Linked DNA regions of Lepisosteus oculatus. The protein of the gene in region 1 interacts with the protein of each later gene in a pairwise test. Links are inferred from orthologs where the notes say so. Each region holds a gene or a part of one and is shown on either strand. Other genes may lie near its edges.

What was found.
Region 2: the proteins of lhx4 (region 1) and chchd2 interact in binary tests that used the Homo sapiens proteins (3 or more experiments, as listed by UniProt). The two-hybrid records come from large-scale screens. The link is inferred for Lepisosteus oculatus from reciprocal best matches to the Homo sapiens genes LHX4 and CHCHD2.

What each region holds. Positions count from the first base shown.
Region 1 is NC_090704.1:26,256,377-26,263,428, forward strand, and holds the start of lhx4 (LIM/homeobox protein Lhx4), read right to left. Parts: upstream 3,013-7,052; 5' UTR 2,788-3,012; coding exon 2,700-2,787; intron 1-2,699. UniProt on the Homo sapiens protein: May play a critical role in the development of respiratory control mechanisms and in the normal growth and maturation of the lung. Binds preferentially to methylated DNA.
Region 2 is NC_090721.1:5,755,694-5,763,371, reverse strand, and holds chchd2 (coiled-coil-helix-coiled-coil-helix domain-containing protein 2), read left to right. Parts: upstream 1-4,725; 5' UTR 4,726-4,834; coding exon 4,835-4,887; intron 4,888-5,439; coding exon 5,440-5,689; intron 5,690-6,321; coding exon 6,322-6,481; intron 6,482-6,853; coding exon 6,854-6,864; 3' UTR 6,865-7,178; downstream 7,179-7,678. Other genes in the region: bicdl2l (bicaudal-D-related protein 2-like), read right to left, coding at 1-41, 2,152-2,400. UniProt on the Homo sapiens protein: Transcription factor. Binds to the oxygen responsive element of COX4I2 and activates its transcription under hypoxia conditions (4% oxygen), as well as normoxia conditions (20% oxygen).

The sequences.
Region 1 (7,052 bases):
CTTACTGTTATTGTACCATATCTTATTGACCTGAGTAGTTGTGCAGTTGTTAGTGGAAAAGTTACTGACTTCAGAGAGGTGGACACAAGCAGATGCTTGTGGAAAATGGGATCTTAATATGCACGACATTTGGAATTAAATAATGGGGTTTACAAATCAGTGGCCTGAAAACTGGCAATGCCAGTTTACAAAATCAGGTCATTAATCTCTGGTGCATGAGCCTGTACCTCTGTTCCAGTGAACTTAGCCTTTACCCAAGGCCAAAGAAAAGATGGAGGGCTTTCAGACTGAACCTTGCATAGAGTATGCTTACATAATACACAATCGTGATGAATGCCTGTGTTGTTGATGATAATGATGATAATATCCAGGAAAAAAAACATTTACAATGAGCTTCTGGCCTATGCCAGTGTTGTTCAGAATACAAAATCATCAAAGAAAGAAAAGGGTACCCAAAGTCAGTAGTTCTTCTTGCAATAAATGTACAGTAGTAAAATAAATCCCCATTAAAACTATAGAACTTACTGCAAAAATGAGGTATAACTACCACAAATACTTTCCTCTGAATCATACAAGGAACCATCCATTGGACATCACCTATACAAGCAGATACTAACTGAAATTTCAATAACCTTTAACACACCCATTTGATAAAAGATATCTTTAAATAAGAACAATTAAGATATCAGACAAACCACTTAATCCATTTACCGTTGCTTCTTTCTCCGCTTACTGGAAATTTTTAAACAGGTTTTGAAAGGCTTAAAGCCAATTGGAATCCTATTAACCAGCAAGAAAAAGTCAGGCACTGGAGAGCTGCTCAGAAGGCACTGCTCGTGTTTTGAGCCTGTTGTCTGGCGTCGTAAACACCAATGAATGAGATGTAGCATCTGTACGATTTTGTTTGCGAGGTGTCCCATGCTGTTGCAATGTGGTCATTTGCTTACAAAAAGGATCTCTTTTTTTTTAAATGGCGTCAAATAAAGTAACTGTAAAAGTAAATTTGCAGGCAATACCACTTGAATCAAATTTTAGATTGTAAATTGTTATTGACAAGACTATGCAAAATAACGCTTGTGAACATTAGGCAGGGCTATAAGTTAAATATGTATTACAGGTATACTGTATAGTGTATAACATTACCCCAAGCCAATAAACATTTTAGTAGTAAAGCAGTCGGATAAGTTTGAGTACCGTTCAGGAGTCCCTTGAAAATGACGCTTAGTTTGGATGTACAGACTGCTTCTGTAAAATACCCCCCAGTATAAATGTAAGTCACTTTGAATAAAAGCAGCGGGCAGTAAGGACCAATAAAGTTGACAAGATCATCTGAGTTGAGACCTTGGCTGACTGTTGCAATAAAACAGAGCAGTGTGCACCAAATAATTTCTCATGGAAGTTTTTTGGACATTGCAAGCATTGGGTTACTCCCAAGGCCTCTGCAAAGATGAGAGCTCAAAATTAACACCAGTCAAAGGAAGTAGGTGTTCAGCTCCTAGCAGATCTTCACTGAGCGTCCAGCCAAATGCAAAGCCTGTCTGGTCATAGGTTATGAACCATGGATTCACACTGGGACCCCAAGCCAACTCAAGAGTAAAAAAATCGTTAAGTGTGAGAATTATATATTTTTCAGTAACAAAATAGCTTGGCATGGAGAATACTGTTTTCTTCTTGTACAATCTGTCCTATTTATCTTTTAAGATTCCATAGTGCTTAAAGATCGGAACTCACTCACCTCAATATTGATTTTTTTTATTTCTTACAGTCATAAATCATACTTGTTCCCTTGCAGAAAATGTGAATAGTGTTTTATGACTGGATGCTGGGAGTGTGCAATGTCAGGGACATGTACAATGCTAGCTGTGGAATTCTATTTCAATGTGGTTGTACTGTGTTGTCTGTCACAAAACAAAACTTCCTTCTCCTCTTCAGTTGACATTCTCCTAGCCTCAATGTGAGGTTTCCTTAAAATAATATATGAGACGGACTCGAGATTACCACACTGATCCCAAACCCCCATTCTTTTTTAATTTTGTTTCTTTGGACAATTTTATGGTTGCCTTTTCTTTTTCAGTGAAATACAGGTACCTAACAAAAAGCCCATTTTTGTCTTTACTGAAACATTTAAAATACAGCACATTACCAGTGAACCTTTTCCATTTAACATGCATCCTAACCAGGAGTAATTGATTACAGGTCAGTAACTACTCTGCATTTACATCCTAAACAGAAGCAAAGAAGTGCAACACTCACAGATCTAATTTTTGAAAACACATTGATTTAAAAATAGCACAAAGTCCAACAGTCCAGGAGATGATAAAGGCCACTTAACCTGGCTAATACATTGGACTGGACCTTGTACTACAGTATGTTTCAGTCGGTGAAGTTACTTTATCTTGCCTAACAAGCAAAAATAACAGTTCTTGTCTGGCCATCTTTACTTTTTTGGCTTGAGTGGTGGTGTTGCACTTTAATCTGTCTGTGTTATTTCTACCATTCTAAACCAAAAGAATTGCAGATGACACAGCTTGAAAGGCCACACAGAAAACAAGAAGGCTAAGTCTGGACATTCTTGGTGTGTTTCCTCGGCACACAGGTCATCATTGTGCAGACTGACAGATGTGAGGTACTGTACGCACTGCTGAAGCATAAGAACTTTGCTGAGTGAGAACTCACCGACCCAATCAGGCCAGACTCACCTTGATGGAGCTGCTCCTGCTTCTGCAGCCAAACCAGAAGGATTTCTTTGGGGATACCATGCTCCCCAGGATACAAAACAGAAGACATGTCCCTGCTGCCTGTTCCTGCAGCACCTACATGTACAGTACGTTGGCTCTGAAGGCTTTGTTCCCTCTCTGCTCTAATTCCGCGCGAGTTGTGACAGCGGTAACAGAGCCATTTTACAGCAGCACAGGTTACCTATTTAATCCAGTTTGAATCAGCAGTGGCCCTCCCCTCCTCTTGGCTCTCTCTCCTCTGCTAGGTCCTGTCAGGTCTGTTTATGCTCCAGGGATCAATGGTAATATATTCAAGTCTAGGACTGCCTAACAAACTGGGTAGCTGGGTATAACATTCTTGGTTTTCTATCGAGGTTAAAGCCTCAAGCCAGTACATGATTTTCTTTTAAAGCTACTCCTACCACATTTTACAGGGCATTGTAAAGAAGGCTGACAATTGATGTTTTGAAAGGCGTTTTTCTGGTCACATTCTGTCTACAAATCCAGCACATTTAATGACTGATGTCATTAAACACCAGGATTTGCTTTTGTGTGCTACAGATGTCTATACAGATGTACTAAACAGGTCTATTCAAACCCACTACACTGACTATTCAGAGTACATTAGTATGGTTTCTGGAACAATACTAAATATACCGTAGGTGAAATGCCAGCAGAGTTAACATTTTCTGTGCTACTTTTTTGGTTCGTGAAAGGAATAGTGTGTTCTCACATTCAATCAACGTACCTCGTTCGATGACTAAAAGCTAAATTCTTCATTTTATAAATTAGCACAGAATCTGTGATAGTGAGTTTACTAGACTAGTTCAGAAGAGGATGGTAGCACACTGAGTTGTTTCTGCAGATTGTCATTTGGCATGGAAAATGCCCATATAGCAAATCCTGTACTGGTTGAAAATTGTTTTCTACGCAGATCACACAGCAGTCTGCACTAGAAAGATGACATATCTAGTTCTGCTCTGAAGAGCATTTAGTGAACCTTTCAGGGCCGTGCCTATACTAGACCAATCTCTCAAAAGTGGGAACACCTGGACTCAATGGAAGAAGGAACTAGACTCCCATGATATCCCATGCTGTGAAGGTTTATTATTCTTGAGAGAGCCTGTAACAAGTGTGCTTTTTACCAAACCTGTGCTAAAGAAAGAGTAAAAGAGATCTATAAAAGCTTTGATGCCTTTGACTAATGCAAGACATAAGTTAAAAGGAATATAGTTTTTTCTTTTGTTGACAGTTTATAACAGATTTAAAGGCTGATGAACCTTCATTGTAGTATGTTAATGATACAACCAAACTCCACTGTAATTTATTTCTAGAGCAACATTTTTACAGTACCTTTGACTGGCCGAATTTGTTATAACTATGTATTCAGGGTTAAAAAATGGTTACATGTAGAGGTTCTTTCTGGTAGCAGAAAAGCCACCAGCTCTCAAAACAAAACTCTTGGAGGTTAGGGCTCCAGAATCACTGCTTGAATCTGACGAATATGTTCTTGTTTTGAAAGGTCATGTAAATAAAGGTAACGATAAAATAAAGGTTGGCTTTGGCTTATAAAGATTACTTTTAAGACTAGACAGGAAGATTGATAAATTGAGAATAAACCTCATAGAATTTAGTTACGAGAAAGCAGGCCACATCATTCTAGTGAATGGCAAAAAAAACATTTATTTTGAATAATTTATCTGCCTTCATAGAACAATCCTTATGGCTTTACTGGCCTTGAGGAGATTTAAACTGAAACCAGTGTGTGTAACTGGATCAGTGGCATTAGAGCTGGAATTAGATTTAAGGATGTGGCTATTGATTGATTGTTTTTTAAGCAGAGATGCCTTAACCCAACTTTAGTGCTTTTGGTTTGAACTACATTACAACTCGAGAGTGGATTTTGAAGTCTGCCTAGAAGACTAAATAATTATTTCCTTCAATACAGCTCTCAGTAAATGTTACAAAAATTAAGATGACATAAGGCTGGGTCCCCTTCAATAAAGAAACCTTAGGACATCCTGAATTTAATTTTAATTTTTTTATTTCTATTCTATTGCAACTGAACCTTCATTTTTCTACTCTAATTAATCTTTATCCTTTCTGTAAAGTTTGTTTTGAGTTGTTGTATTGATTGTATTTTTTAATTGTTGTCAGCTGTGGGCTTTTGGTTTCAGATATATACTGGCTTTTAAAGGTTTAAAGATGCTCAGTAAATGCGGCATTTTATGCTAGGTGATTCTCAACCTGTTTAATAAATTGTTGCCTTACTAATCTATTGAAATAAATAGCTCAGTAAAAAAAATATATCATAAAGAGTCCAGGAATACAAATTGCCAGGGTAGTAATAAGGATTATTACAACCCTAGGTCTGGGGAACATTGCTTTCAGACCATGTTTGGAATATTATAAAACTAAAACATGCTGTGCCTTTCCATGACCTTAAACCAACATTTTCTTCCTTTATGTAGATCACTTTAAAATCACTTACAGAACTTAAAATCAGGTTTCTCACATTACCATTTCGTTTTATAGTATTGTTACATAACATGTTTCAGTTATGTACATATCTTTATCTAGTGGTCTTTCAGAATATTTTTCTGATTGTTAACAAGAATGTAACCAGAATCCAAATGTCTACCTCTTGGCATGCGGTTTTCTTTCATTTTTATTTCATCCAGCCTTTTTAATACACAAACTACAGTACAGTATGTCAGCAGATTTCAGCACCATTGTATGATGGACAGCTCCCAATCTGCCTGTTTTTCAAGTACAGTAATCTGTGTTAATATCTGAGGAATGTTACATGACAATAAAGGGCTTCAGTACATCACCCAACATTCTCCATCTATTTCTCTCTTCTAGATGTTGAAATAATGTCACACGGATTCTCTTCTAGACAATGTTCTTGTGACTGTGCCAATAGGTGCTCACACTAATTTTTGCCAGGGCTGGCCCAAATAAGAATGTGGCTACAAGTCTTTCTTTCATTATCTTTTTTATTGCACAATTAATCAGTTAGTTATCTAGGGAGAACACCAACATTTTATGCTGTAGTGTCGAATAAAAGCAAAGCTATAAGTCTGTTAATTTGTGGATTAAGAAAAAAAACATAGATTTATATCCTCATTTATAAATGATTGGAATTCCCATCTGATATATATGGTTATTTTATTCTTGCCACTTTGCTGTAAACCTGTTTTATAACCAACAGAAGCCTAAATGTTTAAATTTTACTGTTTTCGGTGCACTCTTCCTGCCAGATCATCTTGGTTATAAAAGGAGGGCATTCCCATCTATCCTGTTAATTAGTTGACCTGAGGATTTTATTTAACCATTTCTTAAATTAAGTCAGGGTATCTGCTTCAACAACAGGTCTGGCTAGCTTTTCCTATACTCCCATGACTTAGTATCGTCTCCATTGCCCAGTCTTGCTAGCGAATAAAACCATCCTCCTGTTCTCACCATCAGCTAGCGTCTTTGGATTGTTGCTCCCATGGAGAATTCCTTGCTACCACACTTTCTTGTTCCAGTTCTACATCTGTCCATAAGAACAATTTTTGCAAATGAACGGAACCCACTTTTCCATTCATAACACTGTTATGTTAAGAACATAAGAATTAGGTACAAATAAAAGGAGTCATTCATTCAGCCTATCTTGTGCAGGTGGTAGTTAGGCATTTATTAAACAAAGCCAGGGTACTGGTTTCAACAACGTGGTTGGTTAGCTTGTTCCATTCTCCCCCAACCCTTTATGAAAGATGTACCCCCAGTTGTTGTTCTTAAATGGACTTCCAAGTAGTGTCCACTTGTAACCTTTGGTCTGTGTTTCACAGTGCGATCTGAAGGAGTCGGTTGGGTTGACTGTGTTGGAAGTCTTTAAGGATGCTGAATATTTCCATCATATTCTTGACTGCTGAGCCTGTAAAAAGGTTCAGTTTAGGTAACATAGTCTTAGTATTGGTTAAAGTAAATCACAGTCTCAAACTAACCTCACGAAATGAAATTTTGTGGCTGCAAATAAAAGCACAAACTAAAACCACTGCATCTGAAGATTCCTGGCAGATTGTGAATCCTTCTTGAGAAGGAGAGGTTGAGGGCTTGGTGGCATAGCAGCATGATCCAGAGGTACAGTACATTAGAGACACGCCTACAAGGACTCTTACCACAGGGCACTTCCAGAACATGTGTAAGAAGGTAGCAGATACGTTAATGGAAATAAACAGAGATGGTTGGTGATAATCATCTGGATACCCTGCTTTGGTGTTGCTTAAATTCTGTGTGCAGGTTTAAGATGGATATACAGTACTAAGTTTTAGGAAGAAGAGAAACCCG
Region 2 (7,678 bases), on another chromosome or scaffold:
TCCAGCCTCACCTGCAGCTCATGTCTGCCCTGCTCCAGCTCCTGGCGGGGGGTAGACACAGACCAACAACCGGCTGAGGCACACTGGTCAGCTTGGCCAGAAAGCAGGAACTTAGGGGTTTCAAATGCTTCCAGTTTGCTCCTTTATCTTCAATATGGTAAAAACAGAGCACGATTCCAAATGGAGACTGGGCTGGACAGACTTCAAAGAAGTCATTATAAGTTTATCATATTGTGATTTGTAAAGAAAAATCACAAACGAGACTCAGACAGACTATGTTTGTGATGACTTGTTTGCTGAAGATTTTTTCTTTCACATGGTCCAGATTAGAAGGCTGTCAAAGGAGGACAATGCTGTCTCACTCTCCACACGATCGTATCATATGTACTGTTAAAACACGTGGGACATTTCCTGTGAAATATTTACCTGATTAGTTAAATACAAAAGTATTTAAAGGGAGAGCTCAAACTGCAAAGACATTTTCACAGTTTGGAATGAGCAGCCTTCTTCAAACACTTTGTAAAACATAGAGATTTGGCTCAAATTCAATATTCATTTTAAGATCTGTTGTTAGACTTAGATATCTGATTTTTGCACTTTACTACTGAATAAAACAGTCCGTTTTTTACATTAAGACCTAAGAAGGTTCTACAACAACACTTAACACTATTTGATCATTATTCCTGTTATGCCCTGTTTTGTGAGCAGCATCAGGGAATAAGAAGATAATGTCATTTATCAAAGAAAGATTACTTTTCACCTAGACACTAGACTAGACACGTCTCTCAGGCGAAGTGCTCACCACTCTCAGCAATTTCCTCCTGAGACGTTCAATAAGACCATGTCACAAAAAAATATAAATTGGCACATAACGAATGTAGGTGCGCTTGGTCAGCGGCGCGACATAAATACTGTACATAACGGTAAAAAAACAGTTTTTTCCCTCATAGATTAACTTCACCAGAAACAATACAAAAACAACTATGTACAATAGCTCAATAAGAGTGAGAAATACAAAGGCTTTTCTGTCTGATCGTGACGTTCACTGCTGCTTATCGTGCAAAGTCCCAACTACAAGGATTCATAAAATGAAGAATGTATTTGAATTGCCTCTCTCGGGGTGGTATATTTATGCCCTTGTTAAGCTGTATTTCACTCCCCTGGCTGCACCGAAATCTCCAGAAAACTCGTTTAAGTACCACAGGTATTTACGGTGAACAAGTGCCTCTATAACTTACGGCTTTTGGTTGTTCCACGAAGAACAGGGAACGTCTATACTTTGAGTTCCCAGCGATGCGGTTTTCTGCACTCTGGTTTCTAGGCAATTCACCCAGAGATGGCATGCTCCCAAGATCACAGAGAAGGGTCACTATCAACAAGTTATTTAATGTCCCTTCTTTTATCTGCGGGATAGCGGAAGCGTGATTCATCTGCAGATGAAACAATCCAAGCACTAGCCTAACTTTTCCATCACCCATCGCTCTGACGCACCAGGTACGAGCATTAAAACATGATGCCTAATCCATTGCCATCGAAAAGAACATTATTTTAGCACCGTTACCATTTTCGTGTGGACTTGTTTTATATAGAAAATATTAGACAAAATCCAAACTGTAAACACCTGTCAAAAACTATGTTTTTATTCCCGTTCCAGAAAAGTTGAAGAAGCGAAGGACCCCTCATTATTAAAAAAAGAAGGGGGTTTATTATATGCATTCAACCCGATGTTGGACATAGGTATATTGTCACAGTAATTGACATGTATTTAATATCGGATAATGCAACATAGGAGTATCAGCTCTGAGGTTAAAGAATGTAATAATTGGTCAGCTTAAAGCACTTAAAATGGCAAACACAAAATGCCAACAAATAATTGTAAAAAAAAACTAATTAAAAACCCGTACCGCACCATGCTGGTTCTGGAATGTGTAAATCTAAAATGCTTTGTACATAAACGTGACTCACTGTTTCTTAACACTAAAATTAGTTCAGTGGGGGTTTTGTTTCTTTGTTATTTTAACTGAGGCTAGTGGAAAACCAGACGGCACACACAGTAACGGTATATTCGCAGCGTGTGTGCAGGCAAAGCGGGGTGACAGGATAACCACAGACGGTTCCATACACCAGACTGCGTTGTGTTCATGCCCTTACCTCTAATCTGTCCGCGTACTTCTCATGAAGTTTTTCGTTCTGTTCTTTGAGTTCGCCGTTTTCCCGAAGAAGCGCATTCCCCAGCTCGGCAGCCAGAATCAAATCCTCTTCCTTTTGTTTCAGAGTCACCAAAAGTTCGCTGGGGTCCTGACAGCCGGACAGATCTTCCGAGTCAAAATCGAAAGAATAAAACTCTTCCTCCGGTTCTAACGCGTGTGACTTCACTCCCCATCCATCCAATCGACTCATGACTTTTAATTAAAACTAAAAAAAAAAGATAACAAAAACTAAGTCAGTCTTAAAAGTGCATAAGAGACGCGGATTTTGTACTGCCTTTCAAGCAAAGTTCAAAAAACACCATCCATACATATAGTACATAGGCTTTAACCAGGCTGTGAGTCGAGTGTGCGGTCGACTGACGCCTACTGTAGGTTTGTTGATCACCCAGAGTGGATCTGAAAGGGAAAAAAGTGGGCAGGTCCTTTATAATTCTCAGGTGACTTCACTAGAGACAAAACCTGGAGAGGACACGCCGCGTCACCAAGCAACAGATGGCAATACGAGAAGCAATCTTTCCTATCATAAAAAACGATGGGGGTTTCATAATTGGCGTTTCAGATTGAGCAAATTCAGAGCTCTCTCACTCCGAACCGATATGAAACCCGGGAGACGGGCTTTTGTTGCTTTGGGTGGGAATCAGGTGCTGGTGAGAGATTGAAAAATTGAAATTAGTAGGACTTTCAGGGAGCAATTTAAAAATGCCAGAGGCGCCATCAAAAAGCCCGGCGTCTCAAAATTGCATTTGTGTTCAGTTCAGTATTAAAACCCACTCCATAAGGCCCTTTCAGCAACTTTTCAGAATCCCAGCTGGTTTTCAGGTGAATATTATCATGCATTCTGTTCGTGTAACGCTATGAAATCCCTTTCAAACGAATCATATAGACGGACTGATAACTATTATAATACAATATTAATTAATAAAGGTTTTCAATGTTAACTAAATGGACCATGTAATCCGATTTATACTGTAGAATACCAGATTGTGTAATTCTACTTGTGTGGAAGGGGGTGTCTATTGATCCAACACAGTAACAATTATGTAACTAAGGCATAAACTAACGTTTGCTATTCCAAAACATGCAAAAGGTAAATATACATATATCATAAATAAATCAAATCACATCCAGAGGAATATGTGTGCAGAAATAAGAACTTCCCTTTTTACCCCCAAAAATTAACAAAGCATTTGGGTTTTTGTGTTTAAGATATTGACTCACCTCTGCCTGAAACCCCTTGTCGGCCAGTTATTTTCTGACACATGACGCCTGATTTGAGCTGTGTCTGTGAGGGCATCCTGAGTGCACATTGGGAAACGTGTCTCAGTGCTGACATGTGATACATCAATGTCACTTTTCTTTTGGTAACATCTGACTTATGTATTACACTGCTGATTGCTTCACATTTGTTCAAGAAACTGAACCCAGTCTTTAATGCCACGACTTTTAACATCACATTTTGCTGAGCAACACAGAAACCCTACAGATTCAATATCTTTGTCATTCTGTGTCATACCTACACAACCAAAGTTGAACCGCTTATTGCACAAATTTTGGTTTGGTCAGGAGGGGAGTTAGACCACTCCCTGTCCATCGCTGCACAGTCCCAGTCTGGGAATGGGAGGTGCTCTATAAACCCCAGCAGCTTTGGCAGAGACACTTATCTGACAAAAACAAGGTGATTTTCTATTAGCTGAGGGTCTGTGCAATAGATTCCATCCACCTTTGGAGAGGCACAAATTTTCCCCATTCAATTCTGCACTGCAGTTTTTCTAAAGGTGATCCACCCAGACCAACAATATTAATAAAGACTTAAAACGGAATGAAGAAGGTTGATTTGCTATTGGCTGACTGTCTTAACATTGTATGTTTCACCACTTTTGATGGTGCAAAAAATGTTTTTGTCCCTGGTTATAGTTTTAAAAACGGATTGAATTTAAATATAATAAAGGATTTGATTTAATTACAAATTTCAGATACAGCTCCTTTAAAAGCTTGCATCTTAAAACCTTTTTCATTGAACAGAAAAAAAAACATTTCTATGAAAAAAATATAGCAATGACAATTTTTACAGTAGTATAAATGGAAGAAAGGCGCTGTAAACTCAATAAAAACTATTCCAATAATCTTAGATTTGTCAAACTTGGAGATTAGTGGAGGCGATTTTAAATTAAAAAAGGACCCTCTCAAACTTTAGCTGAATGTTCAGGGAATTGCAGTTAACCGTGAAGAAATAACAAAGCAGGTGTTTCAGCTGCTTGTCACTTCGCTTAATGTTGCTATACTCATACGCTACTGCGGTGGCTGAAAGTCTTTTATTTTTAATGACGTTCGGCTATTTACATACACTTCCGGATCATTCGTGTCGCTCAGTGTAGCTTTTTCTTATTTAAACACCAGAAATACAAAAATGGAGACAGAATACTGAAATATATACAGACTAGTTTCACCATACTCGCACTGGAGCGCGTCTCTGCTACCGGAAGTCGGGAGTGTTACAATATGATGTAACACTGGGGACATTTCCGGATCGGCTTTTAGTTAACACAAGGTCGCTCTCAAGCAGAGAGACAGGAGAGGATCGGCTTGTTTCTGACATAGAGATCTGTTTTATCTTTTAGAACAAAATGCCAAGCAGAGGCAGTAGAAGCAGGATGTCTAGAGTACCACCTCCGGCCAGGTAAGAGAAAATAATTACAGAAGTGTACCTCATAATACTTTTTGATCATTTTCGTGCGCAGCGTGGCCTAGCGAGTAGATTGCACTGTACTTTTCTGCCGTGAAATACCCGTAGGTATGTCCAGCCGGAAGTTTCTAGAATAATCTGCTTGTTTCTTAAATATAAGCTACCGTGTTAAAAGATGTCGTCTCTGTATAAGAACGGTGCCTTATTCTGAACAGTTAAAAGGGTGACTGATGCGTTTTGCGAATACTGTGAAATGCATTAGTTAAGTTAGGTAATGCACACGGTGTTTAATCTCTCATATAATTTAGTATTGCAAGAGCTATTTATAATTAAGTCACAATTGCAAATATTAAGTTTACGTAAGAGATTTAGCAGTGCAGTTTGATTCAGGAGTAACTTGTTTTGGATTATATATATAAAAAAAAAACATTTGTTAGACCTTGAGCTTTCAGAACAGAAGTGGCGAGCCAGGCTTGAAGATAAATAAGAGATGAATGTGTGCTTGGCACTCTGTCGACCAGGGTAATGCTCTCTGTCTCCGCACAGCCGGGCTCCACCAAGACCGATGGCCAGGGCTGCCCCACCCCCCTCCTCCCTGCCTGCCCACCCGCCTCCCTCTGCCATGGCCGCCCCCTCCGCAGCCCCCCGACAGCCCGGGATGTTTGCCCAGATGGCGACCACAGCAGCCGGCGTGGCAGTGGGCTCTGCTGTCGGGCACACACTTGGCCATGCCATGACAGGGGGCTTCGGTGGCGGGGCAGCTGCAGAACCAGGCAGGGCCGATATCACCTATCAGGTAAGCGCTTCATGACCGGATTGTAACTCTGAGCTGTGAGTGTAAACCTACTCAGGGATGTATAAAATGAACCAGTGTTTTTTTTTGTGCAAAACATGCTGATCTGTTACTCTTGCAAAATAACTGTGCTGTGCCCAGAAATGCCACACAGTGGTGGTGGGGGGGGATGGGTGTAGGCCCTCTCCTCTGATCTACCCACCTTAAAGCTGTTCCTCTTTTTTCACATCACGGGCTCCACAGCCCCCTGCCAGAGACTTGGTGCTGATTACAGGGGCGCCCGACAGCACTGCTTGCCTCTGAGCACAAGCGAGGTTGTGGGGGTCGCTGTGTCACTGAGAAAAGAGGTATCTCTGGCCAACTAATCCCACCCTACCCCGGCTGGTGCTCAGCCATCGCTTGTGAAATACCATTCCCAGTCAGGTACTGACGTGGGCCAAGCTCGAACCCGCTCTTCATTCAAAGGTGCCCTTTAAGCTCTGCACTCAAGGATTCGGACTGCCTGTTTGTGGTCTAGCCTGTGAGTAACTGTACCTAGCCCGGATAAGGGTGATTGCCTCTAGGCAAAAGGTCTGGGATGTTTTGCTCACAGCTGTGGTTCAGCGAAACAGTTCATGTGTGCTTTGTGCCCACAGGAGCCTGCTCCCCCAGCTCAGCCCATGTACCAGCAGCAGGCTCAGCAGAACCCCTGCACGTATGAGCTGAGGCAGTTTATCGAGTGCGCGCAGACCCAGAGCGACCTCAAGCTCTGTGAGGGCTTCAGTGAGGTGCTGAAGCAATGCAAGTTCTCCAATGGTAAATCACTTTTAACTTTCCTAACTGGAACTCACAAAATAGATATTCTTTTTGACAAACCAGAATCTGGTACCTGACTAAGATCTCAGGTAGTAATGTAATCGTAACTGATGTGCCCTGCATTATCAACAGGGAGACTAGAGATGGAAACCCCATCCCACAAGTAGATAGACATGGTGACGCTTGTCAAAACCATTTAAAGGTTTTCTCCGCTTCAGTAATTCCAGTGAAGTGCCTTCACTTATTCTTACAGAGGATAGTTTGTATTAAATTAAAAAAATTCTAATGTCATTCTTTAGGCAAATAAACAAAATGCTGATGTAAAATTAAACTAAATATAATTTTAATATCTTCTTTATCTTCTTTTTTCAGGGTTGGCATGAAAATCCAGAGCAGTGAAATTAGTTCAATAATAAAAGGAATCCAGTGCACAGTAAATATTTAATAACGCTCAGTGTTGAGTTTTCTCTTGTAGACTGCCTTTATTTGATATGCAACAAATTCTGCTTATTTCAGGTTCTGGGATAATTGTCTTATAAAAATTGTATGCGTTTCAATTCCTTTGCAAATAAAACAAGAAACCTGTTTTTTTTTTCTGTGTCAATTTGTCTTTAAATACCATGTTGTCTTTGAAAATTGTGTACTTTTTGTCGTAGGGGAAACTTTATTTTTGATTCTGAATAAATGTTCCCAGTTATTTTTGTCTCCTTCTTGCTTTCTGATTGAGAAAAGCTGTAGTCTTTTCTGGGGAATAAAATGGCATTCCAAGGTATGAAGGACAGAGGCTGTGGTTTCATGTAGCTGATAGATTGAAGCACAGCCATCAAGAACCGCAAATGAGATTTTAGGAATTGTATTTTATACTAATGGTAATTCCTGACAGCTGTATTTTGTCGTACAGTAAGTAGCCTTTGGGCTTTATAAATGTCATGGTCTGCATTTGCGTCTCTCTAAACAAGGAACAGCTGACAGTAAATTAGGTAGATTGAATTCATAAAAATGAAGGGATGGCTACTACAACACACCATATTGACTGCTCATGTGTCAGTTACTTTGCATTGTTGCGATAATGATGTTTAATACCAGAAAACACAAGTTGAGGTTTTTGGCAAACTGTTGATGCCCATAACATATATATTTTACACAGCAGTGAAGGAATTAAAGCCAGTCCCTCACAACAGGGTTGGCATGAATCAC